Macaca fascicularis: one gene and its partners. The protein of the gene in region 1 interacts with the protein of each later gene in a biochemical or structural test. Links are inferred from orthologs where the notes say so. Each region holds a gene or a part of one and is shown on either strand. Other genes may lie near its edges. The genes, in order: UBE2E1, UBR7, RNF167, NEDD4, TRIM32, UBR5 and IPO11.

Region 1 (4,223 bases):
GTAATTCACTCACAATAAAAGCAGAGTATTTTCTAGTTGATAACTGGGTCTTTACCCCCAAATATATTCATGTACACCAGGGATATCCAGCAAAATATAAAAATGCAAATTACCAAAAGCAAGTATCCCGGCTTGAGCACGTGAGGCCAAAAAGTGAATGAGGATCAAAGAGCCTAGAGGATTGAGGTGGGGGGCAGTGTTAAGGAAGGGCCTGTCCCAAGTGGGCAGAGTAGATGCCAGGTTCCAGGAAAACCGCACAGGGCTAATCAGTGAGGGTCAGTTAGGCCTCCTGAGAAGCTGTACAATCAAACCAAACCTATAAAAATGAGAACAATCTTGCAGAGGCACCTTGCCACTTAAGACCTCCACACTATTTTTAAAAAGTCACTCATTCATCAGCTCATGGTTAGGTCACCAAAACACTGCCAAGTTTTCAAATTACAAGTCAGGCAAAATGACAGAACAAACTCTCAAACCCTGACTTTCAGGCTCACTACTCAGTGGAGAGATCTAAAGTCTCATGTTCCACTTTATTTTAAAAATTTTTAAGACGGGTATCCCTATCTAACCCATCATTTGGACTTCTTACTATCTTCCTGGTTTGCCACCTTTTTAACAACTGCCTAACTCTGATAGCAGAAGGATTTATGAAAGGGTGTCTCAGGGCTCCTAGGAATCCACTAAAGATTATTTTAAGGGTCATGGCGATCAGAGGATATTACTGAAGGATGGCAGGAGTAACAAGTAGCTACCTCCAGAGCCTTAAGAGGAAAAGAATAAAGAAAAAGAGAGACTGCTTAAATTGAAAAAATAAAGCAACGTAACATTTTCACAGCATGAGGACAGCAAATAGCATGAAAAAAAGACAAGTTTCCCTGAAATTTGGTAAACTGAAGTTTTTAAAGAGAACAAAAGAGAACCACAAAAATAACCTAGAATAACTATTTTATAATCACTTACTGATTCATTCATTTGCCTCAACTCTCAGAAAAATCTCTTTAAATTCCACCATAAAACACGTCTTCACCTACTCAATTTTGTACCTGCTAATACGAGTTTTATTCCTTATGCAATTTGTGAAGAAAGCTCTATTTAGAAAAGATCATCCATGCAACAGGTGAGGAGAAGGTAAAATGGTCACAGAATTCATTTTGATGCAGTTGTCTGGGCTGGTATTAGTAATTAAGAAATGGGATGATGGCCTTGGGGAAGGTCACAGATCGACCATTAGTAGGACAAGAAATCTGAAATCAGATTTGGGGGTCACTAATAAAAGTAATGAAGATTCTTACAAACTTCAGCAAGAAATGCGAGAGGCAAGCCACAATAGCTGCATGTGAGCAATGATTAAAAAAAAAAACAGAAGCAGCAATAGAGAAAATAATTAGGGCTTCCAAGGCCCTTCTTTCATTTTTAAGAACACATAAACCATGAGGAGCGTTTAAGCTATCCTCATTGGGAGGCAGACCAAATGCAGCAAGAGGCAGTTCGGAAAATAGGAAGCCTATGGAAAAAAAAAAAGAGTACGGTACCTCTTGGCGCTGGTGGAGAGGAGTTTGGAGTTTTTGCTCATGCTGACTTTACTCTCCTTCTTCTTGGGGGTGTTTGTTTCTTTCTCGGTTTGCTGGTTGGAAGACGAAGATGAGGAGGAGCTGGTGCTGGCCCTCGAATCGTCATCCGACATAGCGAACCCCCCACCCCACCCCGCAAACAGCCCCTGCAGGGGGAGGGAAACAAAACAGAAACACACAAACCATGCAGCCAGTGTAAATAAGGAACTCAGGTGCTGTCAGGAGGGCATTGACCAGGGGCGCACGCGGCCGCCCACCGCCCTCCACTCGCTTTTCAAAGTCTGCAGGCCCATTAAGGCTTTTGCAAATCGGACGCGGCTTGTTTATTTTTGGCCCCAAGTGGGGAACGCTGTGGGAAAACGGTCTGGAGCTAGGAGAGCGGCCCCTCCCTCGCCCCCCGGGGCTCTCCGCTGGGCAGGGAGGGAGTAGCCCGGGAGGCGAAGGAGGGCAGGGCGGGGGCGCGGGGCGCCACGGCGGGGCAGGGAGGGAAGGTCCCGGCAGCCGGCCGGCCTCGGGGCTGTTTTTGTCCGCTTTCCGGGGGTCGTGGGGTGGGGGGCCGGTGGCCCGGGTGAGAGACTGTGGGGCCACGAGAGGAGTTTGGCGAGGTCGGGAAGAGAGGAGGGGCGGGAAGGAGTAAGAGAGGAAGCCGAAACAGGGGGACGGAGGCGGGGAGCGGGTGCCCGGGTGGGGGAAGGGAGAGGCCGGCGGGGGGCACGGGCGACAAGGCCCGAGGCCCCCCCGCGCCGCGCCCCGACGCCCCTCCCGGCCTGCCTGCCTCTGGGCCGCCCCGCTCACGGCTGCGCGGCCGGGAGGGGGTCCGGAGCACACGCCCGATCGCCACTCCTGGAGGGGGATAGGGGCTGCGGCGGGGAGTGGGGGGGGGGTCGGCCTCCGCAGCGAAGAAATAACAATGAGCCCTTCCGCCCCGGAGGGGTTAATCCCCGTGAGCCCCCGCCCCTGGGGAAAACGGGGCTCCCCCAACTCCCCCCCACCCCCGCTCCCGGCCCCCTCGGTGGCCAGTGGGGGGCTCTTGGGGCAGCGCTGACAGTTCGAGCCACAATGACCCCCGCCCCCGATGCGGGCGGCCCCCGCACCCCAAGCGGCCCGGGGTCCCTGCCCATCCCCCGCGGGCGGGCCCCGGACCCCTGGGGCTCCCCAGCCCCTCTCCGCTCCCCCCTCCGGCCCCGTGCCCGGCGGCCCGGCGGCCCCGGCGGCGCGAGTCGGGGGAGGCGGCGAGGGGTGTCCCCGAGGCCCGGCGGCGCGGCCGGGGGGCGGCGGGCCGCTGGGGGGATCCCCGTACCTCTCTTTGTGTCTGGCTCCTCCGTGCCGCCGCGGCGGCTGCTGCTGCGGCTGCGGCTGGGCCTGGCCACTCGTGTCTCTCTCGCTGGGAGAGAAGCGGAAGTGCAGCAACAGCAACTATTAAACAGGCAATGGCTTCCCCCAGCCACACACGCTCGCACACACACCACTCCTCCGCCGCCGCCGCCTCCTCCTCCTCCTCCTCCTCCTCCTCCTCCTCCTCGCCCTCACCCCTCCCCCACCCGGCCCGGTCCCACCCACCCTCGCTCCCCTCCCCCTGCAACACCTCCTGGGGGTGCGCGAGGAAGACCCAGGAGACCCCAGGAAACCGTGCCCCCCCCCACACCCCCACCCCAGCGCCTCCTCCGGACGCCCGGGAAGGGGGCGAGGGGTGTGAATTTTCTCTTAAGTGGTTTGGGAACCTGGATTCTGGGCGGGAGAGGGGAAGCCAATGGAGATGGGGTCGCTGGGAGTGATTGGAACTGGATGGAATAGGGGGGTCACGAGAGAAAGTTCTTTCCAGTGAGGGCTTTTGGAAAGGAGAGGGGTAGGGAGGTGGCAAATTGGTGGAAAAGATGGTAATCTGGTGGTGGCAAAGACTTTAGAGAATGCAGCGGGAACTCCACCTAAAAAGCGATTAAAGAGAATAAAAAAATCACACAACAGGGGTTTTCTTTGGACTGACACTTGCTTCTCCTTCTAGCAATTTACCTGCTAGGAGCAGAGGTCAGTTTAGGCACGCCTGTGAGAAAATCCCAAACCAGGAATTTTCTGCTCAGGTCACGCGAGGCACGTGCAGTTTTACAATATTAGATTCTTCCAGTCACTTTTTATAGAAAGTGATGTGGTTTTATAAGAGTGATACAAAGGTTTTGGTGACAGGTAAAACCAACGTGTAACGGGGCTTGCGAATGTGAGAAATCACTGGGTATAAGCTATATACTACTGAATTAGACTGGATTTAGAATTTTTGGTGTCATTTTACATTAGATACAAGGTTTGGTTTTTGGAAATTGGATGGAAAGTTCTGGGGATCGCAGTGCTTTCGTTAGCTACATATAAATGCTATTCAAATAATATTTTTGAAATGATCAGCAGTTCTTCTGAATTGTTCCTTATGTAGCATTTTTGCCAAATTTGTTTTTTTAATATTAATCTGTCAAATTACGATTTAGTTTCTCACGTATTTGTCATTTCAGTTGAAGGGAACTGAAGAGATGTGTGCCATTCAGATACACCAGTGCCACACATACAAGGTCTTGTACATTAAGGAGACAGCCTCAGATTTCCATAGCTCACTCTAAATTATCTCATTCAAACTGCCATCATTTTCCGCGCAACAGTGGCTTCAGT
Region 2 (4,488 bases), on another chromosome or scaffold:
ATATGTACAGAAGCAAATATTTATATCACATACACACAAACACACACAAGTAAAATGATGGTAGAGAAAGATGAGTAGTTTGAGTTTGTACCATATTATGTTTTTAAAGGCTCTGGAAACTCCAATTATATAAAATAATTACATGAAATTTCACTACTGTACAACAGCTTTGCATGAAAAAACATGATAAGGAAAAAGTGTAGATGGGACAGAATCTACACTTCAAAAGCATTTAGTAACAATCTCTGACTATGTTTACCTTTTTGTGTATAGCTCAAATAGTTTGTGACTTCCATGACATTCATAACTGCAAGCTAAACAAATTCCTGCTGGTTCTTCTCCCTCTGGGGTGCAGGTACTACAGGCATATAGTGCTTGCCTCTTTACTGAGCCCTAAAAGCCCCCAAAATGGAAAAGAGAATTAATGTAATAGCATGGCTTACCTAATACCCACACTAGGAACTGAAAAATAATTAAAATCAGATTATCTGTGGTCAAGATCTTTCTGTAAAAACCATTAAGACTAAAAAGTTTACACAGCAGAGCATCAACCAAAACACAGTTGTGTTGCATGTTTCATTTTTATACTAGTGCTTTTCATGCAAGCACTTTTTTCTTTCTTCCTAATTTATTTATTTTTTGCAGAGACGAGGTCTTGCTATGTTGCCCAGGCTTGTCTCAAACTCCTGGGCTCAAGCAGTTCTCTGCCTTGGCCTTCCAAAGTTCTGGGATTACAAGCATTAGCCATGACACAAGTCAGCACTCCTTTCTTAAAGTGATAGGATGTCTGAATTTGTCAGTCGGCTGTGAATAAATGAATCTGTTTAATCATTTTAACAGGTGAAAACACAGGAGCATATGTATAGGTTTATGTAAGTAATATCACACTTTCATCCTGGAAAATGTTTGTAAATCCACCAAAGAGAGAATCAACACATGCAAAGAATCTCTTTGATTTTTAGGAGATGCATGCTGAAGTATTTAGAGGTATAGTGTCATCATGTCTGCAACTTATTTTTAAATAGTTCAAAATTTTAAAACAACAAATTTTAAGTAGAAAAGGAGATAAATGTGACAAAATGTTAAAAAGTGAATATGTAGGCTGGGTGCAGTGCTCACGCCTGTAATCCCAGCCCTTTGGGAGGCCAAGGTGGGCAGATCACCTCAGGTCACGAGTTCAAGACCAGCCTGGTCAGCGTGGTGAAACCCCATCTCTAAAAAACCCCATCTACTAAAAATATAAAAATTAGCTGGCCGTGGTGGCGGGCATCTGTAATCCCAGCTACTCGGGAGGCTGAGACAGGAGAATCGCTTGAACCCGGGAGGTGGAGGTTGCGGTGAGCCAAGATCATGACATTGCACTCCAGCCTGGGTGGCAAGAGTGAAATTCCATCTCAAAAAAAAAAAAAAAAAGTGAATATGTATAATAGGTATAGTTACCTTCCTCTAGGAAGGAGGAAGAATAGACAAGGAGGCTTCCGGGATGCCAGTAAAATTCTATTTCTTTCTTTTCTCTTTTTTTTTAAGTTCTTTTCCAATAAGCCTTTTGCACTCCTAATGTTCTATTTGTTGATCTGGGTGGTGGGAACATGCACACTTTCCTTTCAAGCTGTGTACATGATTTGTGCAAATTTCCATATTTTTTTTTTACCACAATAAAAAGAAAACATTAAGGGAATCCATTTTATAAAGGTAACTACACTTCAAAAATAGTTTACATACAGACTTAGAACTTTTTTTTTTTTTTTTAAGGAAAGCAGGCGAAAAATTGTTTTAGTGGTGACCAAAGGTTTTAAAGTACCTGGGGCTATGTCTGGATACCAGGTTTATTCAACAATCTAGCACTTTGCAGTGTAAACTAAACTTGGTCAACAACGAGAACTGGTATTATGACCTCAGTTCATACCACATAATGAATGCAAGTCTCTCCTCTCATCTCCCCAGTGTTCCAATCCACCCCTCTGCCTCGGTAACCCTTCTTCCTGCCAGTTCTTATCCTTTGTCAGTCTTCTTCCTACCCATCCTTTTCCATTTTTGTGCCTCGAAGTATAGGGTGAGTCACTAAACACATCACACCCCCTCAAACACTTGCTCACTCACAACGTCTTCCAAATGCCAAATAGATCCTTTTCTCCTCTCTCCCCTCCCCTGCCAGAGCCACTTGCTGTTCTGTTTCCGGTCTATTTCCAGGGGAGGAGGGCAGACTGCAGACAGACATGGGTACTTGCTCCATTTTGCCAAAAAAAGAAAGAAAAAGTACTAGCTAGCACTTGTCAAACTAAATTGCAGAGGAACTAGCTGTCAAGGAGCTCACCGCAAATCCCTATGGATTTGAAAATCTCTTTAACCTGACGTCTCCCATTTGGTCCCTAATAAATAAATAAATAATCTTAGGATGGGAAAAGCAGGGACAAAGATGTCTGGATCTGAGAGGTCGCGGGCTGGTTTCGTGAAAAGCAGTGGTGCACCAGGACGAGGCTGGAGAGGACGGACAGAGCAGCTGCTCCAGGGTCCTTCCTGGCTGGCCGGACAGAGTTAGAGAGAGGGGAGATGGGGGCCCCTGCTGGACACAGGCTGAAGGGGGCCCAGGAGGTTGGGGATAAAAGGGAAGGGTGGGCTTGGGGTAAGGAAGCGGCAGACTAACGGCGGCCCCGGACCACCACTGGGGAGACGACTGCGGCAGGCGGGAATAGGGACAGCCGGGCCGGGAAGGGGAGGTTCGGCGGGAGCCGCGGGAGACAAGGCCCGGGCCGCGTGCCCACCTGCGAGTAGGAGCACTTCTCGGAGTCGCTGCCGCCCAGGACAGCACACGCCTCATTCTCCAGCTCCTCGTCCTCCTCGAGGACGTCGACCAACGATACCACGGGCTCCAGCTCCGACTGCCGCCCAGCGGAGCCCTCGGCTCCGGCCATCCTCAACTGTCACCCGAACCGCGGCTCGGCCCCGGCGGAGGCGGGAAAAGCGGCCACGAGGGGCGTAGCCGGAGGAGGCGGGGCCCGAGTGCCAGGAACCAATGACAAGGAAAAAAGGCGAAGGAAGGGGGAGGAGCGACTTCCGACAAACGGATGTCACTCCTCTCCCTTCTGCCGCCTGCGCAGGCCACGGGCTGATTTCCGCCTCCGGGTGGCGCTTCCCGGTGTCGTGTTCTGGAAGCTTAGTGGTCACCATGGAGCTGCTGGGAGAGTATGTCGGGCAGGAAGGGAAGCCGCAGAAGCTGCGGGTGTCCTGTGAGGCGCCGGGTGACGGCGACCCTTTCCAGGGCCTATTGTCTGGCGTGGCCCAGATGAAGGAGCTGGTAACGGAATTATTCGGCCCCCTGGTACAGGCGGAAGTGCAGCACCGGGTGGCGGCGGCTCCAGACGAGGCCCTGGACGGTGAGCTCTGAGACGGTGCTGCAGCGACAGGAGGACGGGGCGGGAGCCAGGGGAAATTGGCTTGGGGAGCCCGTGTAGAGTGGCAGACTTGGACAAAGTGAGCCTCGAGGAAAGAAGAATTGCATCTAAAAATTTTTGGCGGGCCAGGCGAAGTGGGGCTCACTCCTGTAATCCCAACACTTTGGGAGGGCGAGGCAGGAGGATCACTTGAGGTCAGGAGTTCCAGAACAGCCAGGGCAACATATCGAGACCCCGTTTCCATTGTTATTTCAAAGATAATTTAAAAAATAAAAATTGTTGGCATTTATCACTATATTTGGGCTGCTTCTACTCAAACATTTCCACGACTCATCGCTATTTCATTTATTTCACTAAAAAACTTGCCGAATGCCTACTACTATTTGCCAAACCCTGAGCTGAGCCCTGGAGGAAGAATGAGGTCAATGCGACTCAGTTCCTGCCCTTGTGAAACACAAGGGGATTATACAGGCAGACACTCTTATTAAAAGTGAAAGTGGCCAGGCTGGTAGCTCACGCCTGTAATCCCAGCACTTTGGGAGGCTGAGGCGAGCGGATCACGAGGTCAGGAGTTCGAGACCAGCCTGGCCAATATGGTGAAACCCTGTCTCTACTAAAAATACAAAAATTAGCTGGGAGTGGTGGCGGGCACCTGTAATCCCAGCTACTGGGGAGGCTGAGGCAGAAGAATCGCTTGACCCCGGGAGGCGGAAGTTGCAGTGAGCCGAGATCGTGCCACTGCACTCCAGCCTGGACTACAGAGCGAGACTCCGTCTCAAAAAAAAAAAAAAAAGAACGTGGTTCTATGGCCCTCTGTAAGTGTTGCAAACCCAGAGACCCTCGGAAGGCTTCAAAGAGGATAAGACTTTTGAGCTGGAGTATTGAATAAAAAGGAGTTTTATCAGGTGTGAAACTACAGACATATTTGGAAGAGTACAATCTATCGCAGAGTAGGAACAGGTTCCAAGGAGTGGGACAGACTTAATTTTAACATGTATTAACTCCTAGAGACTCCCTTGCCTTTCCAGTTTTGTAGGTGCAGTTTGAAAGTAGAAACGTGAAGTTTAACTGCATTATTTTTTAAAAATTGCCTCGA
Region 3 (2,280 bases), on another chromosome or scaffold:
TGCCAAAACCACATGGGCTGGGGACCAGGGCTGGATGGACAGACAACTCCCCCTACCCATACCCCTCCTGTGTGTGGTTGGAAAACTTTTTTGTTTTTTGGGTTTTTTTTTTTTTTTTCTGAATAAAAAAGATTCTAACAAGGTGCTGTGTGATTTGAGCTTGGGTGTCAGAATGGGGGACAGGCACTGTGACTTGCCTCCTTTATCATGGCTTGGGAGCAGGAAGGTTGAGGTACTACAAGGTGCAAGAATTTGAGCTTCTGGCCAGGTGGCCCTGCCCCTCCACAGTGGCATTTCCAGGCCTAAGTCCTCAGTGTGCTGGTTAAATTGGTGGATAATGGAATAGAGCCATCTGGACCAGAGAATGGGTGCAGGCCTGCAGGCAAGGCAGGGCTAGTTGAGTCATCCTTGTGGGTGGGGCTCCCCCTGAGTCATAGCAAATGCCTGCTGGGGCTGTCCCCATGACTATAGGTTAGTGTCTCAGCATTCTCTTGCTCCTTATGGCTAAAGGGGTGATTCCCCCAAAGGGTTAAGTTCACCTAAAAATTATCTCACCCTTCCTTAGTCCACAAAAAACAATTTTATTAGCCCAAGAAGTGAAGACCCAGTCCCTTTGCTTGCCCCAGCCCCACCCCAATGCCCCTCAAAAGGATAGGTGTGGGTAAGGGAGCAACTTAGGATGGAATGTCCCCTATCCCTCAACTTAGAAGACTGGAGGGAAGAAGACGGTCTGTGCAAATAGGTCACCAGAAGTGTACATGTAGAGGGTTATTAGACCAGGATGACGGGGGAAGAGGGAGGAGAGGGTGGGGGATCTGTTGAAGGCCCAGGAAAAACAAGGGGAGCTGGGGCTAGGGAACCAAATGAGGTGGGAAGAGTGGGGCTAGAACCCAAAAGTGGGGTCCTTTCGGAAGCAGGGTGGTCCCTTGGCTCCCCTTCTTCACCCTCCTCTTGCCCCTGAGCTTCTTCCTCTTGCTCTTCGTCCCCAGGACCACGATGAACAGGCTGCTTGCAAATGGGGCAGGTCTTCCGGGTCTGAGTCAGCCAGGGGTCCACGCAGCGGCTGTGGTAGGCTGCAGAGAGGAACAAGGTGAAGCACCTGGTGGCTGCCAGTGGCAGAGGGGCATGGGCAGGCAGTGAGGGCCTCACCATGAGCACAGGGGAGTACCCGCAGCTTGTCTCCATCTTCATATTCATCCAGGCAGATGGCACAGACATCATACTGGTCTCCTGGGACAGAAAGAAAATAATCTAGTCCTTCACTGAGCCATCGTGACCCAGGGCTAAGGCTTTTAAAGCCTTGCGAAAATTTTCCCTCACCTACAAAGCCAGTGGAAGAGCTAAGACAGGTAGGCAGGATAAGGTCAGGGCAGAACATGGAAGAATTTAGGGCTAAAAGGGACAAGCAAAGAGAAGCAGAGGTAAGAAGGGAAGTGGTTTTTGGGGAGGTGTGAGGGTGGAGATACGGAGTGGAAGGGACGGAAATGGGCAGAGCTTCTGCCATAGCCTTATACGGGCACTGGAGGCCCCAGGGCCTAAAGCCCCAGCCCCACAGTACCACTTTCTTCCTTCTCTAACTGAATCCTCCCCCATTCCTCCCATTTTTCTGCTCTCCACATCCCCCATAAGCAAAGTCTGTCCCTCTATTATTTCCCACAATTATTTCACTTAATCATCTTTGCTTTACATCTCTCCCATCTTCACTGTATTTATGGGTAAAAACAAGACAAGACAGCATCTCAAGCTGAAAATTTCTTACTGCCATCTTTATTACTTTTATTTTTTTGAGAAAGGGACTCCCTCTGTTGCCCAGGCTGGAGCACAGTGGTGCAATCTCAGCCCCCTACAACCTCCGCCTTCCTGGTTCAAGTGATTCTCCTTTCTCAGTCTCCCAAGTAGCTGGGACTACAAGCGCACACCACCATGCTCAGCTAATTTTTGTTATATTTTATAGAGATGGGGTCTCACCACGTTGCCCAGGCTGGCCTGGAACTCCTGGGGTCCAGGGATTCACTTGCCTCAGCCTCCCAAAGTGGTGGGATTTTTTTGTTTCATCATGTTGCCCAGGCTGGTCTCAAACTCCTGGGCTCAAGCGACCTACCCACCTCGGCCTTCCAAAGTGCTGGGATTACAGGCACTTAGGATTACGTGAGCCACTGTGCCCAGCCACTGCCATCTTTGTATACCCTATCTTCTGGGCTCAAAGTCCTTCAGAACCAGGTAAACGGTGGGAAAAACCCTCTCCTCCCCTAACCCCTCACCCTTCTGATAGTCATGTGT
Region 4 (3,730 bases), on another chromosome or scaffold:
GACAGCGTTCCACTGTGTTAGCCAGAATGATCTCAATCTCCTGACCTTGTGATCCACCCGCCTCGGCCTCCTAAAGTGCTGGGATTACAGGCGTGAGCCACCGCGCCTGGCCGACTTCATGTCTTTACCCTTTCTTTTATATGTTTATTCCTTTACCTACCTTTGTTGCATTCTGGGTAATTTCCATACAAATTAATTAATTTCTCTCTTAATTCTCTTAGTCACCAATATGATATGTCATGTTGCTTAGGAACATGGGATCTGGAGCTAGACCACTTAGCTTTTCTACTTAATAACCATGGGACTTGATCACATTACCTATTCTCTGTGCCTCAGTTTCCTCATCTGTGAAATGTAATAGTAGTCCCTTCCTTACAGAGTTATTGTAGACATTAAATGAATAACATATGTAAACTTCTAAGAAGAATGCCTGGTATGCAGTGAGAGATCAACAAATATAATTGCTTTTATCTTTTTTTTTTTTTTGTATTTTGTGGCCTGTAATGGCATTGCCTCCCATCTCCTGCCGCCTGGAAGACATTAACAATTAGATACTACAACATGTTTCAACCACTTAGAGTGGCAAATGGAGAAGCTAGTGCTTCTATTCCTCCAGCATATTCTCATTAAGAATGAAAATATTTACCAGAACAATGAATCAGCAAATATTTAAAATCCCAAAGTCTAGAAGTAGAAAACAAATTTCCAGGGAAATTTTGACACAATGTTATCTTTTCTTTTTTCTTTTTCTTTGAGACAGGGTCTCACTCTGTTGCCCAGGCTGGAGTGCAGTGAAGTGATCTGAGCTCACTGCAACCTCTGCCTACCTGGTTCAAGCGGTTCTCCTGCCTCAGCCTCCCGAGTAGCCAGGATTACAGGCGGGTAACATCACACCCAGCTAATTTTTGTATTTTTAGTAGAGACGGGGGTCTGACCGTGTTGGCCAGGCTGGTCTGGAACTCCTGACCTCAAGTGATCCACCCGCCTCAACCTCCCGAAGCGCTGGGATTACAGGTGTGAGCCACTGCGCCTGGCCCACAAAATTATCTTTAAAAATGAGTTTAGAAAGTTGATGATATTTAAGGATTTTATTAGGGCATAAAATGTTTACACTAAAAAAACTATCATGTTTTATTTTTGTTAAAAATCTGGGTGAAAATCGGAGGTAGCCGACCCACCATCTTGAATCTTTGTGAAAGCCAGCTTCTGGCTTAGAATGCAAGAAAGTATAACCCAATATGGCCACCTAGTGGTAGTATTCCTAAACTGCAGGCAGAGGAGGACAGGATGAGCAAGTAAGAGGCACTAAAACTAGCAGACACCAACAGAAATGAAATAGATGGCCAGATGATGAGTTTAGTTCCAAACATATTGCATTTGTGGTGATGGGAAAAAGTGTACTGAACATAACTGATAAGCATACGGAGACAAGTCACAAGAGCACAGTTCCACTCATGATTGTATTTTTAAATTATGCAGAGACATTACATTTGAAGGTGTAGAGAATGAATGACTACCGCTAGAAAACAACAAAGTCATAAAACAAATCCAGACTCCTCCAACAGAGTCAAAGACTATGCCAGAAGATAATTTCCTGAGCCACTCTTGCTCAGGTTCTACAAAGATCAAGCCCCATAAACCCCACAAGGATACATCAGGTTAGAGCTCTGGAAAGCAAACTTTAAATGCCATTTTTCTATATTATAAAATATCTTACAAAATAAAGACATAAAATAATCAGTGGTCTGTAGTGATATATCACAGCTACACAAAAAATAACCATCCTTTCTCTATGAAAAACTGTTCACTCAAAGTTGTTACAAATATAGAACAAATTATTACTTTAAACAAAATTTCCCATTACTTTCCATCTATATATTGATGACTCAAGTATTTATCACAAACATCACTAACCTGCTTCTTCAACTTTCTTCGGAAGAACTCATACTTTCTTTTGTAATCCCTGGAGTAGGGCACTGCCTTTAGTGGGAAATTTTGGAAAAATAAAGAAGTTTAGGTTGTTTTTATTCTGGAACAATTTTTAAAGTTCCCGGCAGGGTATTTTATGAACATAAGTTAAGGGCATGAAAAGAAAAATATTTGGAAAGAAAAGTTTAATTAGAAGAAAAACAAATACAAAACTTTAAAATATTTAATTTCTCTGTTTAAGACAAAATTATATTCAGCAATTCCTATGGCTGTAATTTTCATTATGCAATATTCTCAAAATGCAGCATGCCAGAAATAGGAAATTTCTTCCAGGTAGAGAAATACTAGAAACAAAAATTTCCATTTCTAAAGAGACTTTCAAAGTGATTTCTCCATTAAACAGGCAATGTGAAAAGCGTACTTTTTCCTTGAACTCCAAGGAATTGCCTTTTTGAGCCATTAAAGGACTACATGTTGAGATAGTAAATAGTAATTAAAAAAAAGGTATCTTCAGTTTTATTTTTATGAATTACAAAACAAAATCTGAATAAAATGGAAGAAGCAGCTATAAAAAAGGATAATAATTTTCCTATCTGACTACAGTTATCATATATGGTATATTTGTACTTAAGTGTGGATGTGTCTTACATACTGGGCATTTACAATGATTTCTTTTTCTTTTTTTTGAGATGGAGTCTCGCTCTGTCACCCAGGCTAGAATGTGGTGGTGCAATCTCTCAGTTCACCGCAACCTCCGCCTCCTGGGTTCAGGTGATTCTCCTGCCTTGGCCTCCCAAGTAGCTGGGACTACAGGTGTCTGCTACCATGCCTAACTAATATTTTTTGCATTTTTAGTAGAGACAGGGTTTCACCATATTGGCCAGGCCAGTCTTGAACTCCTGACCTCAGGTGATCCACCTGCCTTGGCCTCCCCCAAAGTGCTGGGATTACAGGTGTGAGCCTGGCCTGATTTCTATAAAAAAATTTAAGAATGACCCTGGAGTGGATAGGGTGCTGCTGCTTCCTCATCTGGATACACTCTCTGCTCCTCTCTGATTTGTGGAGGACTGTCAACATTCTTGTTCAGACAGTGGCAGGCACCCACCTGAGCTCAGCAGCCCACACTGCCTTAGCATTCCGACTGTCTGGCTCACCTGTCTCCCACTGCTATTGCATAGGGTAAAGATAATGACGTCATAGAATCTTTTCAAATAACTGAGACTTGGAGTATGGGAAATGGGGGAGAGGAGACAGAATGGCCAATGTGCTTTCCTCTCAATGCCTGTAGGGTTATGCCCTTGAGTATCTGCTTTTGAAGAGACAGGTGAGGGGACAGTCCCATCAGAGCACATCAGCACAGAGAGACTTACTGGTCCAGTTATTGCTACATTCTGCAACCGAGGATCTTCCCATTGTGTTCTTTTTATATCTGAAGGGAAGAAAAAGAAAAATGGTGTACTTTCTCACAGATAAAATTTATTACAAAAAATAACATAACGAAAAATCGCATTGCACATACTGTGATTTATGTAGAAGATTCTTCCATCTGTGTGAGTTCTCTCTTCCCATCCTGGCTATAATGAAGAATGTATTTCAATTATGTTAGGATAGGGTTTTAGATGAATGGATAGAAAAACAGCACTGGTTGTATGGTTAACTTGCATATTCCATTCGATTCTTAGAAGGTATCGACCTTTTTAAATTTTTTATTTTATTTTTATTTTTTTGAGATGGAGTCTTGCTCTTTCACCCAGGCTGGAGCGCAGTGGCGCTATCTTGGCTCACTGCAAGCTCCGCCTCC
Region 5 (4,230 bases), on another chromosome or scaffold:
TTAGAAAGAGTAAGGAGTTTAGACAGGACTGATTGAATTCCCATGACATATTTTCTTTTAGGGATGTGCATGGATATTCCAGCTAAGTCTTGCTGTCAGATACAGTCAAGTTTTGTTTCTGAACTGGCTTCAGCAATGCTGTAGCTAGTCCTGGAAATGATAGAGCCAATGCTACTATTCTGTTCCAGGGAAAAGCAGTCCAAAAGAGACCATACACAACAGTAGTTACTCTCCTTCAAAGTATGACTGCCTTCAGCCTCAGTCCCTGCTGTGCCTTCAGCCTCAGTCCCTGCTGTGAGGTTTTTTTTTCAAGCCAACAGCCTCCATACCTCACCCCATAGTCCGCTGCACCTCATCCTGCCTGATAACTTCAAGCTCCTCTCCTTATCTAGCCCCTGGTCTTGGTCTAAGAACAAACCAAGAACAAAGTCCAGGGCTCCTCCCAATCTAGTCAGAGAGATTTATCCCCCAACTTTAGAGTTCAATCTGATAGTCAGTGATTCTCACTGGGCAATCCTCGTTTTCATTAGAGGGGAATGGGCTGAGAAAATAAGACTAAGCGGGTCCTAGCAAGGAAAGTGGGAAAATACAGAGTTACAGAGATCTGGGTATGAGCTTAACTGTGTCATTCCTAGCTATGAAAACTTAGGCAAGTCACTTCCTAAGCCTTAGTTTCCTCATGTGTAAAACTGAATACAGTCCTTAGAAGGACTGTCATGAAAACTGAGTAAAGAAGTAGATACAAGACTAAAAATTACTAGACTTTGAGAACTTACTATGTGCCAGATCCTAGGCATGCTAATTTACTTCACTAAATCCTCACAACAATTCTGTGACATAGGTCCTGTTATCATAACCCCATTTTACAGATGAACAGCCAAGGCACTGGGTGGTAAGTAACTCATTCAAGGCCACAAAGTCAGGAAGAGATAGAGCTAGGACTTGAACCCAGGGTATCTGATTCTAGGGCAGAGTGCCTCAACTTTGGCATTACTGACATTTTAGGCAGGATAATTCCTTACTGGGGGGGAGGGGCTTATCCCATGCATTGTCAAATGTTTAACATTAACATAAAACATTATATTTAATGTTTAATCTACCCACTTGAGGCCAGTAGTATCCCCCACCCTAAGTGTGACAACCAAAAAACATCTCCAGACATTGCCTAATGTCTCCTAGGAGACAAAGCCACCCCTGATTAAGAACCACTGCTTTACAGTCTAGCACAGGACTAAATGCTCAATACATAAGGGTTCCCTTTTTTTGTTGTTGTTTGATTTTTTTGTTTTTTTTGTCCCTCTCCGAGCCCAAACATCTCACTCACAGAGCCACTGCCCCTTCAAGCTGCAATGGATCTTATATAGGATAAATTATTCCACTCATTCCCCTGGAGGTCTCACATTCTATCTGCTATGGTAGCTTGGGAGTACAAGGAAAAAGGGCTTAGGCAGATGACCTTGAATAGTTCCATTTCTTCTTCCCCAAAGCCTACCACTTTCAGTGGACCGGGGGAGGGGGAGGGAGAAGGCGGTGGTCAGAGTGTAGTTAGTGGCAATACCATACCTGCCTTATGATAACGGATCTTTGTTTAATAAATGAAGAAGATTCTACCCTTCACAGGGATTACCACACTCCTTCAGGATATCTGAACTGAAGATTTATCACTTTGTTCCTGAACACCTGAACTCTGCTCATCTTCATATACTCATCCAGAGTTTCATACATTACTTTTAGGTCCTTGGGTCCCCTAAACTCCCCCCGTCTCCCATGCAGCGATTTAAGGAAAATCTCTTTAGCAGCCCAAGACACCAATCCACATATCTACTCAGTGTCCTTTGATTCTATAGCCCAGTTAGGACATCTCCACCCCACGATTCAATCCTCTCCAAACCCTGTCCTCAACCCTCTTACAATACCAAATTCCAATCTTTGGGGCTGTATAACGCAACCCTCATCAATTCCTCACTCATATGCCTCAAATCCCTCGGACACAGATCCTTTAATCCCTATTTCCAAATCTTTGCCGCACTCAGCTCCGCACCTCAGTTCAACGCCCTAATTCCTCACTTCAGATTTCTGCTCTCCCTCAATCTGAACCCCCATCTCCTGCATTCCATCAGGCACTGTGCCGCCCTCAAACCCTGCTCCTTCCTCTTATGCACTGAATGTCATGTGCTGCCTTCACAACTCAGCCAGCTCCCTTCTTCCTGCTAACAAGAGTCCCCCAAGAACTCACCCCACCCCCTCTATCTCACCCTCAGCCCACTCCGAAAGCCCTTTCTCAATAGCACTTAGAATCGCCCTAGACCTTGCTCCTATCATCTTACACCCTATCCTTGCCAGATGCCTAGCGCCCCCAGATTCCCTCAAATCTCATCGGGGCCCCCCAGTTCCTTCATATTTCTGAAATTCTGCACCCAGGTCCCTCCAGGGCCCTGATTCCTTCCCATCTCCCACATGCTGCACCCCGTTCCTCCTCAGGGCCCCCACATTACCTCATACCTCCCGAGATGCTGCCACCGCATATCTCTTCAGAGCCCCTCGCTCCCCTCCCCCAGCTCCATCTCCGCGGATCTCCTCAGCCCCACGAATCCCTCCCGAGCCTGCCCCTGGCAGCCCCACCCCCACCCTAGTCCTGCCCCTCAGATCCGGTCCCCAGACCCTGCCATTCGGGCGCGGCCGCTGCACGCCGGCACGTTCCCCCGACCGGCCGCTGAGCCACGGCCCACGACTTCGGCCGCGGTCCCTAGTCCCCAGCCCTCCTTCCCGCCCCCTACCTGACCGCCCGCAGCTCCGACGAGTCCACCGCCGCCAGCCCACCCGCCCGCCGTCCTCTGCGCACGCGCCGTTGAGCGCCCTTTGCCGGGCGCCAATTCGCAGAGCTCCCTGTCCGTCACTGAGCCCCGCCTCCCGAGGCATGCTGGGGCTTGTAGTGCAGCGGGCCCCAGCGCGCGGGGCCAGGCGGCCCTGCAGGGGTGAGCTTTCCTCTGAGAACCCGGGGCCTTAGCGACACGTAATCCAGTGTTCCGTCGCCTTTGTGCAGATGAAGAAACCGAGACCCATGGGCGAAAGAGACCTGCTCAAGTTCACTCAGTAAGTCAGGAGATAAGCCAGAATGCGTATCTGACTCCAGTCCAAATGTCTACCCTTTCACAAAACTGTAGCCTCCAGGGTAGTCCTCAACAAAGCGTTGGCACCTTGCTGAATCTGTTTTTCCATCTGAGAAATGGGCCAACGGAAGAATCAAACTTCCATTCTGGGGAGGTCGAGAACCGGGACTCCCTAGGAAGGGCAGTGCTTTGGCCCCATGTCCTGTGCTCTGATAGAGCGCTGCACTAGAGACAAGTTTATCCATGAACACATTGCTCTGTAAAGGAACGTTTTGCCTACTCAGCTGGGAGGCCGACAGCAGAGGCAGACATGGGGAGTACACGCTGCAGCCCCTGTCCCTGCAGGCTGAAGGTACCCGGGAATCCAAACCAAGTGTAGTTTTGGGGAGTCAGAGGTGAAGGTGGAGGAGTCTTACCAGTTGGGAGGTGACCTGGCCTGAGATTTGAGGGAATCTAGGGCACTAGGCATCTGGCAAGGACGAGGTCTGATACAGGACTGACTAGCCACGACCTGCACTCCCCGAAGTAGTTTGGGGCCAATCACCTATTCTCCAAGGTGATTATACTGTACAGCTTAGGAGCACAAAGGAGTTTGAAGTAGGATGGTCTTGGATTTGAAATTCCCCTTAGCTATGTGACCCTGCACAATGATAAAACAGTAACCAAAAACAATGACTAACATCTTTGAACACTTGCTGTCTGGCTACAGCTAAGGACTTCAGGTGCATAGCTCACTAAATCCTCATAAGGACCTCATGAGATAAGGCAGCTGATGGTTAACCTACACCTAACAAGGCCACCTGTGCCTAAGTATTGGCGCCCAGATTTGTACCCAATTCTATCTGAGAACCCACTCTTAACCTTGTTTACTCTTTCTCCCCATTTTCTAAATTTCTAAGTGAAGTTTGCCAAGAAGATAAACCAAGATTATGGTAGTTTGTACTTAATGATAACTATATTTGAAAAATTGCAATTAGCAGGTAGGGGATAAGGGAGAGGTGGTGCCAAATGATTTCTCACTTAGACTAGTTAGGGAGACTTTGCACTTGTTTTTTTTTTTTTTTCCCTGAAAACCAGAGTTATCAGCCCAAAGTATAAATTTAGGACTGTTCATAGTCTT
Region 6 (3,730 bases), on another chromosome or scaffold:
TGGGAATGGTTTGCCCATCAGGTACCAACCCTGATGACTCTCCTTTATATGTCTTATGTTGTAATGACACTTGCAGTTTTACATGGACTGGAGCAGAGCACATTAACCAGGTAAGTTATTTTTACATTTTCCTGTATTAATCATATCTTTGTGTCTTTTTTCCCTATGACTATCACTAGACTTAGAGTTTTCAGCTTTGGAATTGTTAAGTCTGATATGAAGAAAGTTGATTTAATTCCTAAGTAAATGAGGCAGAAGAGCTGATTGCTCAGTTAAATATGGCATACCATGAAAAGTGGAAATTTTCACTGGGTAGTATAATCTGATCCGCAAATCTTGATACAGATTTTATAACTACAGTGCCTTTTTGGGGATGATACAAATTATTTTTTTCAACTGGTAATATTTCTATTTGTATATTATAAACTGTGTATTTGCTGTAGCCCTTTATAAGTCCTAGTTTTCCAAAGCACAATAATTTTGAGATTGAATTGTTTTAGAAAATACCAGAAATGATAATTATGATGAGATATACGCATACTTATAATTATTCCTTTAAAAGTACACTCTTAATTTTAGGATATTTTTGAGTGTCGAACTTGTGGCTTGCTGGAGTCACTTTGTTGTTGTACGGAATGTGCAAGGGTTTGTCATAAAGGTCATGATTGCAAGTGAGTACAATTCTAGTTTTCTTTAGTTTAATATTATAAACTGTTTAGATTTATATTGCTGTATGGAAATCGATAGTCATGTTTTAATTTAGAAAGCATGAGGTTATGTTTCTCTTGTTTAAGTCAGTTTATGTATAATAATGTGATTCTTGATTTAAACTATACTGTGAAATGTTTGGTTTCTTTGCTAGTTCTAACATTGCCCTCCTTAAATAAAAGTAGGTGATTATACATTGTAACTAGGATCAGATTAGTATTTTGAGAAATATATCTACAGAATGTTCCCGAGTGTATTATGCAGCAGAGGTCTCAGGTGCCCTGTAGCAGGGTGTACTAGGAGAAAATTGCCATAGGCCTGGAGGGAATCATGGTGAATGTTTGGACTGTGTCTTTCTTAAACTAAATGCAACAATCTTTCATTCAGCAACAGTTACCACAACTAGTTTTGTTGGTTTTCACAGACCTGAGAAGCAATGAAATACCTAGCACTAACATCTGTGGTGTTTTAGGATTATGGATAGGGACTTCAGTATAAATGGCTACAAATGTTATAATAGAGAATTGGACTGTAAAAACCATCTACTATACCATTAAGTAATTGTATAGGACAAGTGAAAAATTTTAATAGATATTGCATTGCTTATTTATAATTTTTGTTAAAAGAATTCTGGTTGGTATTTTTGTCTTCCTTATTTTAAGCACCTAAAAGTGTGATAATCTGTTGTTATTGATTGTTTGCCAAGGGTACTAGATGCCAGGGTGGTGGTGGTGAATAGTCCTGACAGTGTTCCCAATCCTATCAGAGGCCACAAGCAAGAAATATCTGCCCATAGAGTTATAGGGTTCATTAGGTCATATGGGAGGACCACTTGAACTGGACTGGAGCGGTGGGGAATTAGGGAAGAAATTCCAAAAGTGGCTATACCTTAGAGTACCTCTTCTCATAGGAATTCTGTGTTGGTTTATAAATGTCATTACTACCAAGTAATCCTTTTGTCATATAAGCTTTGACAGTTATACTTTGCATTTAGGAATTAACAAGGGCTCTCTCTGGTTTCAGTGAGTTATACCTTCATAATGTCAACATAAACCTTTGTATGTTTAAAAACTTTCAGTTTTTGTACTTGTGTATAAATTCTCTATAGACTCAAACGGACGTCACCAACAGCCTACTGTGATTGTTGGGAGAAATGTAAATGTAAAACTCTTATTGCTGGACAGAAATCGGCTCGTCTTGATCTACTTTATCGCCTGCTCACTGCTACTAATCTGGTTACTCTGCCAAACAGCAGGCAAGTAGGATTTTTAGGACTTACAGTAAGTTAAATCAGAAGAGCGCAGCATACCTGAGTAGCTTTTCGGCCTCCCTTCTCACGACAACATTCTATTTTGCAGGGGAGAGCATCTCTTACTGTTCTTAGTACAGACAGTCGCAAGGCAGACGGTGGAGCATTGCCAGTACAGACCACCTCGAATCAGGGAAGATCGTAACCGAAAAACAGCCAGTCCTGAAGGTGAGTAAATTAGACATTTATGACACTTGTGGGAAGCAATATGTTTTATTTTTGTTTTGGTCACTATTTCTTTTTCATTTTAGATTCAGATATGCCTGATCATGATTTAGAGCCTCCACGATTTGCCCAGCTTGCATTGGAGCGTGTTCTACAGGACTGGAATGCCTTGAAATCTATGATTATGTTTGGGTCGCAGGAGAATAAAGACCCGTACGTATTCATTAAAACCTTTTTAGCTTTATGTATTTCCTACATTAGTGTAGACCTTTTACAGTTCATTCTGTTTTTCCTCCCTCCTCAAGTCTTAGTGCCAGCAGTAGAATAGGCCATCTTTTGCCAGAGGAGCAAGTATACCTCAATCAGCAAAGTGGCACAATTCGACTGGACTGTTTCACTCACTGCCTTATAGTTAAGTGTACAGCAGATATTTTGGTAAGTTCTTTGAATATGTATTGCAAGTACCTGAAAAGTATGCTTTTAAAGTACTCTTCTTTGCTGTGAAACTAGGAAAGAATTTAAACCTCAAGATCCAGTGCTAATGAGGTTATGGTAATAACACACTCAGATAGGGATGGGGTGGGATTGCATCTCTTCTTCTCTCTGGAAAGCCATAAAACTATCAGTGCCCTGAGAACCTGTCATAAAGAAATTTACAATATGAGAAAAATAAAGGCATGTCACAGAATAATGTAAAATTTAAAAACAGAAAAATACTTTTATCAGCCCAATAATAGTGTAATCTTGAATCAAATTATAACCTGACCACTTACTGGAATGTGATGAAGTAATTTAAAAATAAATCTTATTGTAAATAACATTAAAAACAACAACCAAACTATGAAAATTGGGTGTTTTCTGTAGCTAATATTTATACAAGAAACTACGCACAGAAAAGAGACTAGAAAGTAACAGGGGTTCCGTGAGGGAGAGATGGGATTATGAATTTATTCATATGAACAGTTGAGTCTGCCTTGCTGTTTTGGAAAGTGCCCCAGACTGAGTTAAACATATTCTTCCTCTGATTTGATATATTTGGTATTGTTCTTCTAAATATTAGTTGATATACCGAGGACTATGGGACAAAAAATAAGAAATCATACATTTAGGAATCACTATATGTCAAGCACATTGGCAGGTATATTTCATAAATTGACCTTATAAATGTTTTGGTTAAATTTGTTTTGAGGTTTTATTATGAAATGTTAATGCTTAAAAAACGTTAGAACTTATAACTTTATGAGTGTCTAAACATCGTATAAAATATCTTAACATTAATAGAGTGAATATAATTTTGTAAAGCTTTTAGATACTCTACTAGGTACACTAGTGAAAGAACTCCAAAACAAATACACACCTGGACGTAGAGAAGAAGCTATTGCTGTGACAATGAGGTTTCTACGTTCAGTGGCAAGAGTTTTTGTCATTCTGAGTGTGGAAATGGCTTCATCCAAAAAGAAAAAGTAAGGCATCCTTTTTGATTTTGGCTTGGATACCATTTTCACACAGTTTTTGTGATAGCAATTTATGTATATGAAGAGATAGATT
Region 7 (4,479 bases), on another chromosome or scaffold:
GTAATCCCAGCTACTCGGGAGGCTGAGGCAGGAGAATCACTTGAACCCGGGAGGCAGAGGTTGCGGTGAGTTAAGATCGCACCACTGCACTGCAGCCTAGGCAAAAAGAGCAAAACTCCAACTCAAAAAAAAAAAAAAAGAGTAAAGAGCGGGCCGGGCTCACTCCTGTAATCCCAGCACTTTGGGAGGCCGAGGTGGGTGGAGTTTAAGGAGGTCAGGAGTTCAAGACCAGTCTGGCCAAAATGGTGAAACCCTGTCTCTACCAAAAATACAAAAATTACCCAGGCTTGGTGGCAAGCATCTGTAATCCCAGCTACTCTGGAGGCTGAAGCAGGAGAACCGTTTGAACCCCAGAGGCAGAAGTTGCAGTGAGCAGAGATCACACCACTGCACTCCAGCCTAGGCAACAGTGAGACCCCCATCTCAAAGAAAATAAAGAGGAAAGGTGGTGGGTTATTAGCCACCATGATAAACAGGAGCACGTAGCAGGGACACACAGTATTGTTGGGCTGGCTGTCCAGTACCCAGTAAACGTTTGTTATTGAATGAACACCTGTCATTCATGAATTTTAGTTCATTTTTAATATAACAAGCTCTGATAGTAATCAGCAAAAGAAAAGCACTGGATGAGTTGGAATCTGGGTTATAAATCTAGGTATGTGTGACCTTTTGCAAGGCATTTACCTTTCTGGGCCTCAGTTTCATCAGACTGGATAATCAGTGTAAGATCACCTCAGATTAAAATAAATGATGCCATAAATTTTTATACAGGTTTGTGCATTACTTCAGTGTTCTTCAACTGTTACCAACCAAAGTAGTGCATCTCAAGATTTATTGAACATTCCTTTAATCTAGAGATCTTGTTAAAATTGCAGATTTTGATTCAGCAGCTCTGGATTGAGCCTGAGATCATGCATTTCTAATAAACTCCCAGGTGATGCTATACAACACAATTTGAGTAGCAAGGGTAAAGAACATTGATGCAACTTAAGCTCTACAAAGCTTATAACTGTACTTATCTGTAATCAGCCTGACAGTCGGCAAACCAAAGACACTACAGACTCACACTTGCACTAAATGTGTTTTGCCATTCCTTAAATGCTCTGAAATTAAGTCCCTATTTGAAGCTGATAAAGAAAGGAAAAAATATTACCATCAATAACACTAAATTAGAAGTGAGGTTAAATACATACACACACATAGGTACAAATATATAACACAAAGGTCAAAATCCAAATTATCAAACATTACTTTATTCAAAATTTGAATATTTTTATTGCTGGGAAAAAAAATTTTGTTTCTGGAAAAATCTTCAGTGTATTTTAATAGCCACATGCCTACAAGGATCATGCTGCATTCTGGTTTGATTCATATGTAAATATATTCAAACATCACAAAATCTGATGATTTTTCTATTAATGATCAGATAATCTTTACACATCTGTTTAAAACATCTAACATATTACCACAGCCAAATGTGTTTGTGGTGAAAATTCTCTTTGGCCTTAGGAAGTGCGACTAGGGCAGAGACCACCCTCCTACCCTGGGGCTATAACATATGGCCACAAACCATTACTATAATTGTTTCTACTATACCCTGTGCTAGGTTACTGCAGAAACAGAGAAAATACCAGTCCTATCATAACCAAAAGGGAAAATGAAAATTTTTCTAATTTCACCGAAATTTTTCTCAGTAATGAAAGATGTAAAATGTGTCATGCAATGGATGTCTCCTATAGAAGAGTCACCCTGCCCTTAATCTGATGCTTCTCTACTGAACAGAGAAGTTTGAAATAACGTGAAAATGGAGGAGGAAAATTCCTATCCGAGGGGGGGAAAGCATTATGGCTGCAAACTGCTCTTCCTTACTTCCTTCTGAAGAATAACCGAAATCTGAAGGGCACTACCGCACTATAACTGAGCTCCTTTAAATTATGGAGGGGAGGAGGTATGTCAACTGCAACCTTGGCACTAGTAGTTTATTTACCAGTCCTTGCTATTTAGTCAAATCACTTTCAGATAGGAGTACTTCTCTCATTAACCACTATGTCACAAAATAATAAAGAAAAAATGACACAAGCAATGAGCAAAAGTAGTTTTGCTGAATCACAAATACCCCCAAATACAAATCTGCAGGAGTCGCTGAGCTTGAGAATTGGCGGCCATACCTCTCCATGAAGCTCCTCTCTACAAATGGACAACTACCTTCCCTCTTTCATTAAAAGCACGTAAGGGTCAAACGTTTAAAGCTATCACACTATTGCTATTAGCAACAAGGTCGTGTGCGCAGTAACAATGCACAACGGTCTTATAATCGAGATAACCACTTTATCTCAAATTTTGCACCACCTATCCCCCAAGGGCAAATACATCACCCAGGTCCGCAACCGCGGCCACGATGGGTACACTCGGCTCTGCTTAGCCTAGCATACTGTCCCTCCCAGCTCGCACCCTGATTGCTCCGCTACCATGCTGCCCACTCCCGGGCTTCCTCGGCCAGCCCCCAGTTCCCGGGGTTCCTAAGGTTACGCAAACAGCCAAGTCTGCAGGCCGCCCTTGCCTCGCTACCGTTATCCCTCACCTCCCGGTAGCCCCACTTTCCTCCCTCGCCTCTCGGGTCTCGGGTGCCCAACCCACTCCCTTCCACTCCCGCGCGCTCTGTGGCTCTAGGGCCGGGGCCTCACCGTTTGGTTCGGTCGGGAATTGCCCGGCCCTCCCGCTCCCACTTCCCAACACGAAGTGGCGTCGGTTGGTCCCGCGCCCACGCTGCCAGTCCCCACGCCGCCGCCTACTGATGCCGAAAGCGGCTTCTAGGAACACGCCATGTTTAGCGTCGCGGTTCCAAACGACACGGACGCGCGAAAACTACGTCACAGGAGCCCAGCGCGCATGCGACTAGCAAAGAGCGAGGGCGATAGGCGAACGGTGGGAAGGGGAAGGAGGGACTTTCTCTTCGAACCAAAAGGCGCGGGGTAGCCAAATCAGTTGTGAGCGCTTGCGCAGTATAAAGAGCCGGGAGTCCGGACTAGCCGGCTCTGTCACCATGGAAACCATAGGTCTGGTTTGCCCCACTCCCAGGGAGCTCAATTGTTTCCCGGGTTGATTGAAGCTTCAATCAGAACCATTTCACGCTTTCTATTCTAGATATCAATTGCGGATCCGTCACAGCAGAGAAGAGTTATTTAAAGAATCTTACTCCCATCAGTCCACCCTCCCTCCCGCAAATGTTTATTTTTTAAGTTACCCAAATTGCTTGCTGTTTACTCCTGAGTAATAGAAAGAGTGGAAAAATATAAAAGGACATAAATCCAGTTTTGCTTGCCTCTGCTAAAAGCTAGCATAGTCACCTAAATGTTCTTATCCTCAAAAAGAGAACTTACTCAGGCGCAGTGGTGCGTGCCTGTAGTCCCAGCTACTCCAGATATTGAGGCAGGAGGATCACTTGAGCCCAGGAGTTCGAAGCCAGCCTGGGACATATAGAGAGTTCACACACACACCCATTTCAAAAATAATATGGGGTGGGCGCAGTAGGTCACACCTGTAATCCCAGCCCTTTGGGAGGCCGAGGCGGGCGGATCACGAAGTCAGGAGTTCGAGACCAGTCTGGCCAACATGGTGAAACCTTATCTCTACGAAAAATACAGTAATTAGCCTGGACGCCTGTAATCCCAGCTACTCGGGAGGCTGAGGCAGGGGAATCGCTTGAACCCGGGAGGCAGAGGTTGCAGTGAGCCAAGATTGCTCCACTGCACTCCAGCCTGGGCAACAGAGCAAGACTCTGTCTCAAAATAAATAAATAAATAAGAGATTCCATCTCAAAATAAACAAATTAATTAAAAATACACACCAACTACATATTTCTTAAAAATAATAATTATAAGGCCAGGCGCAGTGGCTCACGCCTGTAATCCCAGCACTTTGGGAGGCCGAGGCAGGCAGATCACCTTAGGTCAGGAGTTCAAGACCAGCCTCACCAACATGGAGAAACCCTGTCTCTACTAAAAATATAAAAAATTAGCTGGGCATGGTGGTGCAGGCCTGTAATCCCAGCTACTCGGGAGGCTGAGGTAGGAGAATCACTTGAATCCTGGGGGCAAAGGCTGCAGTGAGGCGAGATCATGCCATCGCACTTCAGCCTGGGCAACAGGAATGAAACTCCATCTCAAAATAATAATAATAATAAGAGAAGTTGTAAGGAAATAGTAGAGTGTTCATAAAGATTAATAATAGAAAACCTTTATTGCTCATTTAGAATATTCCAGGTACAGTTTTAAGATCTTTATGGGAATTATTTATTTTAATCCTCAGAACGATCCTTACGAGGTAGCTATTTTCTTTATGTCCACTTTACAGATGAAGAAACTGAAGCACAGAGAAATCAAACGTTAGCCCACCTAACGTTAAACAGCTAGTAAAAGGCCATGTTAGGATTTGAACCAAGCTCCGCATTCCGAGAATGTCAATCACACAAGGGCTGTT

Evidence for each region.
Region 2: the proteins of UBE2E1 (region 1) and UBR7 form a complex in vitro, tested with the Homo sapiens proteins (2 studies listed by BioGRID). The link is inferred for Macaca fascicularis from reciprocal best matches to the Homo sapiens genes UBE2E1 and UBR7.
Region 3: the proteins of UBE2E1 (region 1) and RNF167 form a complex in vitro, tested with the Homo sapiens proteins (3 studies listed by BioGRID). The link is inferred for Macaca fascicularis from reciprocal best matches to the Homo sapiens genes UBE2E1 and RNF167.
Region 4: the proteins of UBE2E1 (region 1) and NEDD4 form a complex in vitro, tested with the Homo sapiens proteins (7 studies listed by BioGRID, with this or other methods). The link is inferred for Macaca fascicularis from reciprocal best matches to the Homo sapiens genes UBE2E1 and NEDD4.
Region 5: the proteins of UBE2E1 (region 1) and TRIM32 form a complex in vitro, tested with the Homo sapiens proteins (2 studies listed by BioGRID). The link is inferred for Macaca fascicularis from reciprocal best matches to the Homo sapiens genes UBE2E1 and TRIM32.
Region 6: the proteins of UBE2E1 (region 1) and UBR5 form a complex in vitro, tested with the Homo sapiens proteins (2 studies listed by BioGRID). The link is inferred for Macaca fascicularis from reciprocal best matches to the Homo sapiens genes UBE2E1 and UBR5.
Region 7: the proteins of UBE2E1 (region 1) and IPO11 form a complex in vitro, tested with the Homo sapiens proteins (2 studies listed by BioGRID). The link is inferred for Macaca fascicularis from reciprocal best matches to the Homo sapiens genes UBE2E1 and IPO11.

The regions. Positions count from the first base shown.
Region 1 is NC_088376.1:24,547,773-24,551,995, forward strand, and holds the start of UBE2E1 (ubiquitin-conjugating enzyme E2 E1), read right to left. Parts: upstream 3,004-4,223; 5' UTR 2,872-3,003; intron 1,718-2,871; 5' UTR 1,685-1,717; coding exon 1,533-1,684; intron 1-1,532. UniProt on the Homo sapiens protein: Accepts ubiquitin from the E1 complex and catalyzes its covalent attachment to other proteins. Catalyzes the covalent attachment of ISG15 to other proteins. Mediates the selective degradation of short-lived and abnormal proteins.
Region 2 is NC_088381.1:161,207,811-161,212,298, reverse strand, and holds the start of UBR7 (putative E3 ubiquitin-protein ligase UBR7), read right to left. Parts: upstream 2,949-4,488; 5' UTR 2,913-2,948; coding exon 2,763-2,912; intron 394-2,762; coding exon 260-393; intron 1-259. Other genes in the region: EKC/KEOPS complex subunit GON7, read left to right, coding at 3,167-3,374. UniProt on the Homo sapiens protein: E3 ubiquitin-protein ligase which is a component of the N-end rule pathway. Recognizes and binds to proteins bearing specific N-terminal residues that are destabilizing according to the N-end rule, leading to their ubiquitination and subsequent degradation.
Region 3 is NC_088390.1:5,062,166-5,064,445, reverse strand, and holds the end of RNF167 (E3 ubiquitin-protein ligase RNF167), read right to left. Parts: coding exon 2,262-2,280; intron 1,393-2,261; coding exon 1,321-1,392; intron 1,231-1,320; coding exon 1,150-1,230; intron 1,074-1,149; coding exon 772-1,073; 3' UTR 562-771; downstream 1-561.
Region 4 is NC_088381.1:32,300,771-32,304,500, forward strand, and holds part of NEDD4 (E3 ubiquitin-protein ligase NEDD4), read right to left. Parts: intron 3,504-3,730; coding exon 3,449-3,503; intron 3,359-3,448; coding exon 3,300-3,358; intron 1,981-3,299; coding exon 1,915-1,980; intron 1-1,914. UniProt on the Homo sapiens protein: E3 ubiquitin-protein ligase which accepts ubiquitin from an E2 ubiquitin-conjugating enzyme in the form of a thioester and then directly transfers the ubiquitin to targeted substrates. Specifically ubiquitinates 'Lys-63' in target proteins.
Region 5 is NC_088389.1:41,394,273-41,398,502, forward strand, and holds the start of TRIM32 (E3 ubiquitin-protein ligase TRIM32), read right to left. Parts: upstream 2,827-4,230; 5' UTR 2,778-2,826; exon of another isoform or gene 2,496-2,777; intron 1-2,495. UniProt on the Homo sapiens protein: E3 ubiquitin ligase that plays a role in various biological processes including neural stem cell differentiation, innate immunity, inflammatory resonse and autophagy.
Region 6 is NC_088382.1:111,905,483-111,909,212, reverse strand, and holds part of UBR5 (E3 ubiquitin-protein ligase UBR5), read left to right. Parts: coding exon 1-110; intron 111-579; coding exon 580-671; intron 672-1,816; coding exon 1,817-1,963; intron 1,964-2,066; coding exon 2,067-2,185; intron 2,186-2,268; coding exon 2,269-2,395; intron 2,396-2,487; coding exon 2,488-2,617; intron 2,618-3,484; coding exon 3,485-3,645; intron 3,646-3,730. UniProt on the Homo sapiens protein: E3 ubiquitin-protein ligase involved in different protein quality control pathways in the cytoplasm and nucleus. Mainly acts as a ubiquitin chain elongator that extends pre-ubiquitinated substrates.
Region 7 is NC_088380.1:67,935,077-67,939,555, reverse strand, and holds the start of IPO11 (importin-11), read right to left. Parts: upstream 2,838-4,479; 5' UTR 2,685-2,837; intron 1-2,684. UniProt on the Homo sapiens protein: Functions in nuclear protein import as nuclear transport receptor. Serves as receptor for nuclear localization signals (NLS) in cargo substrates.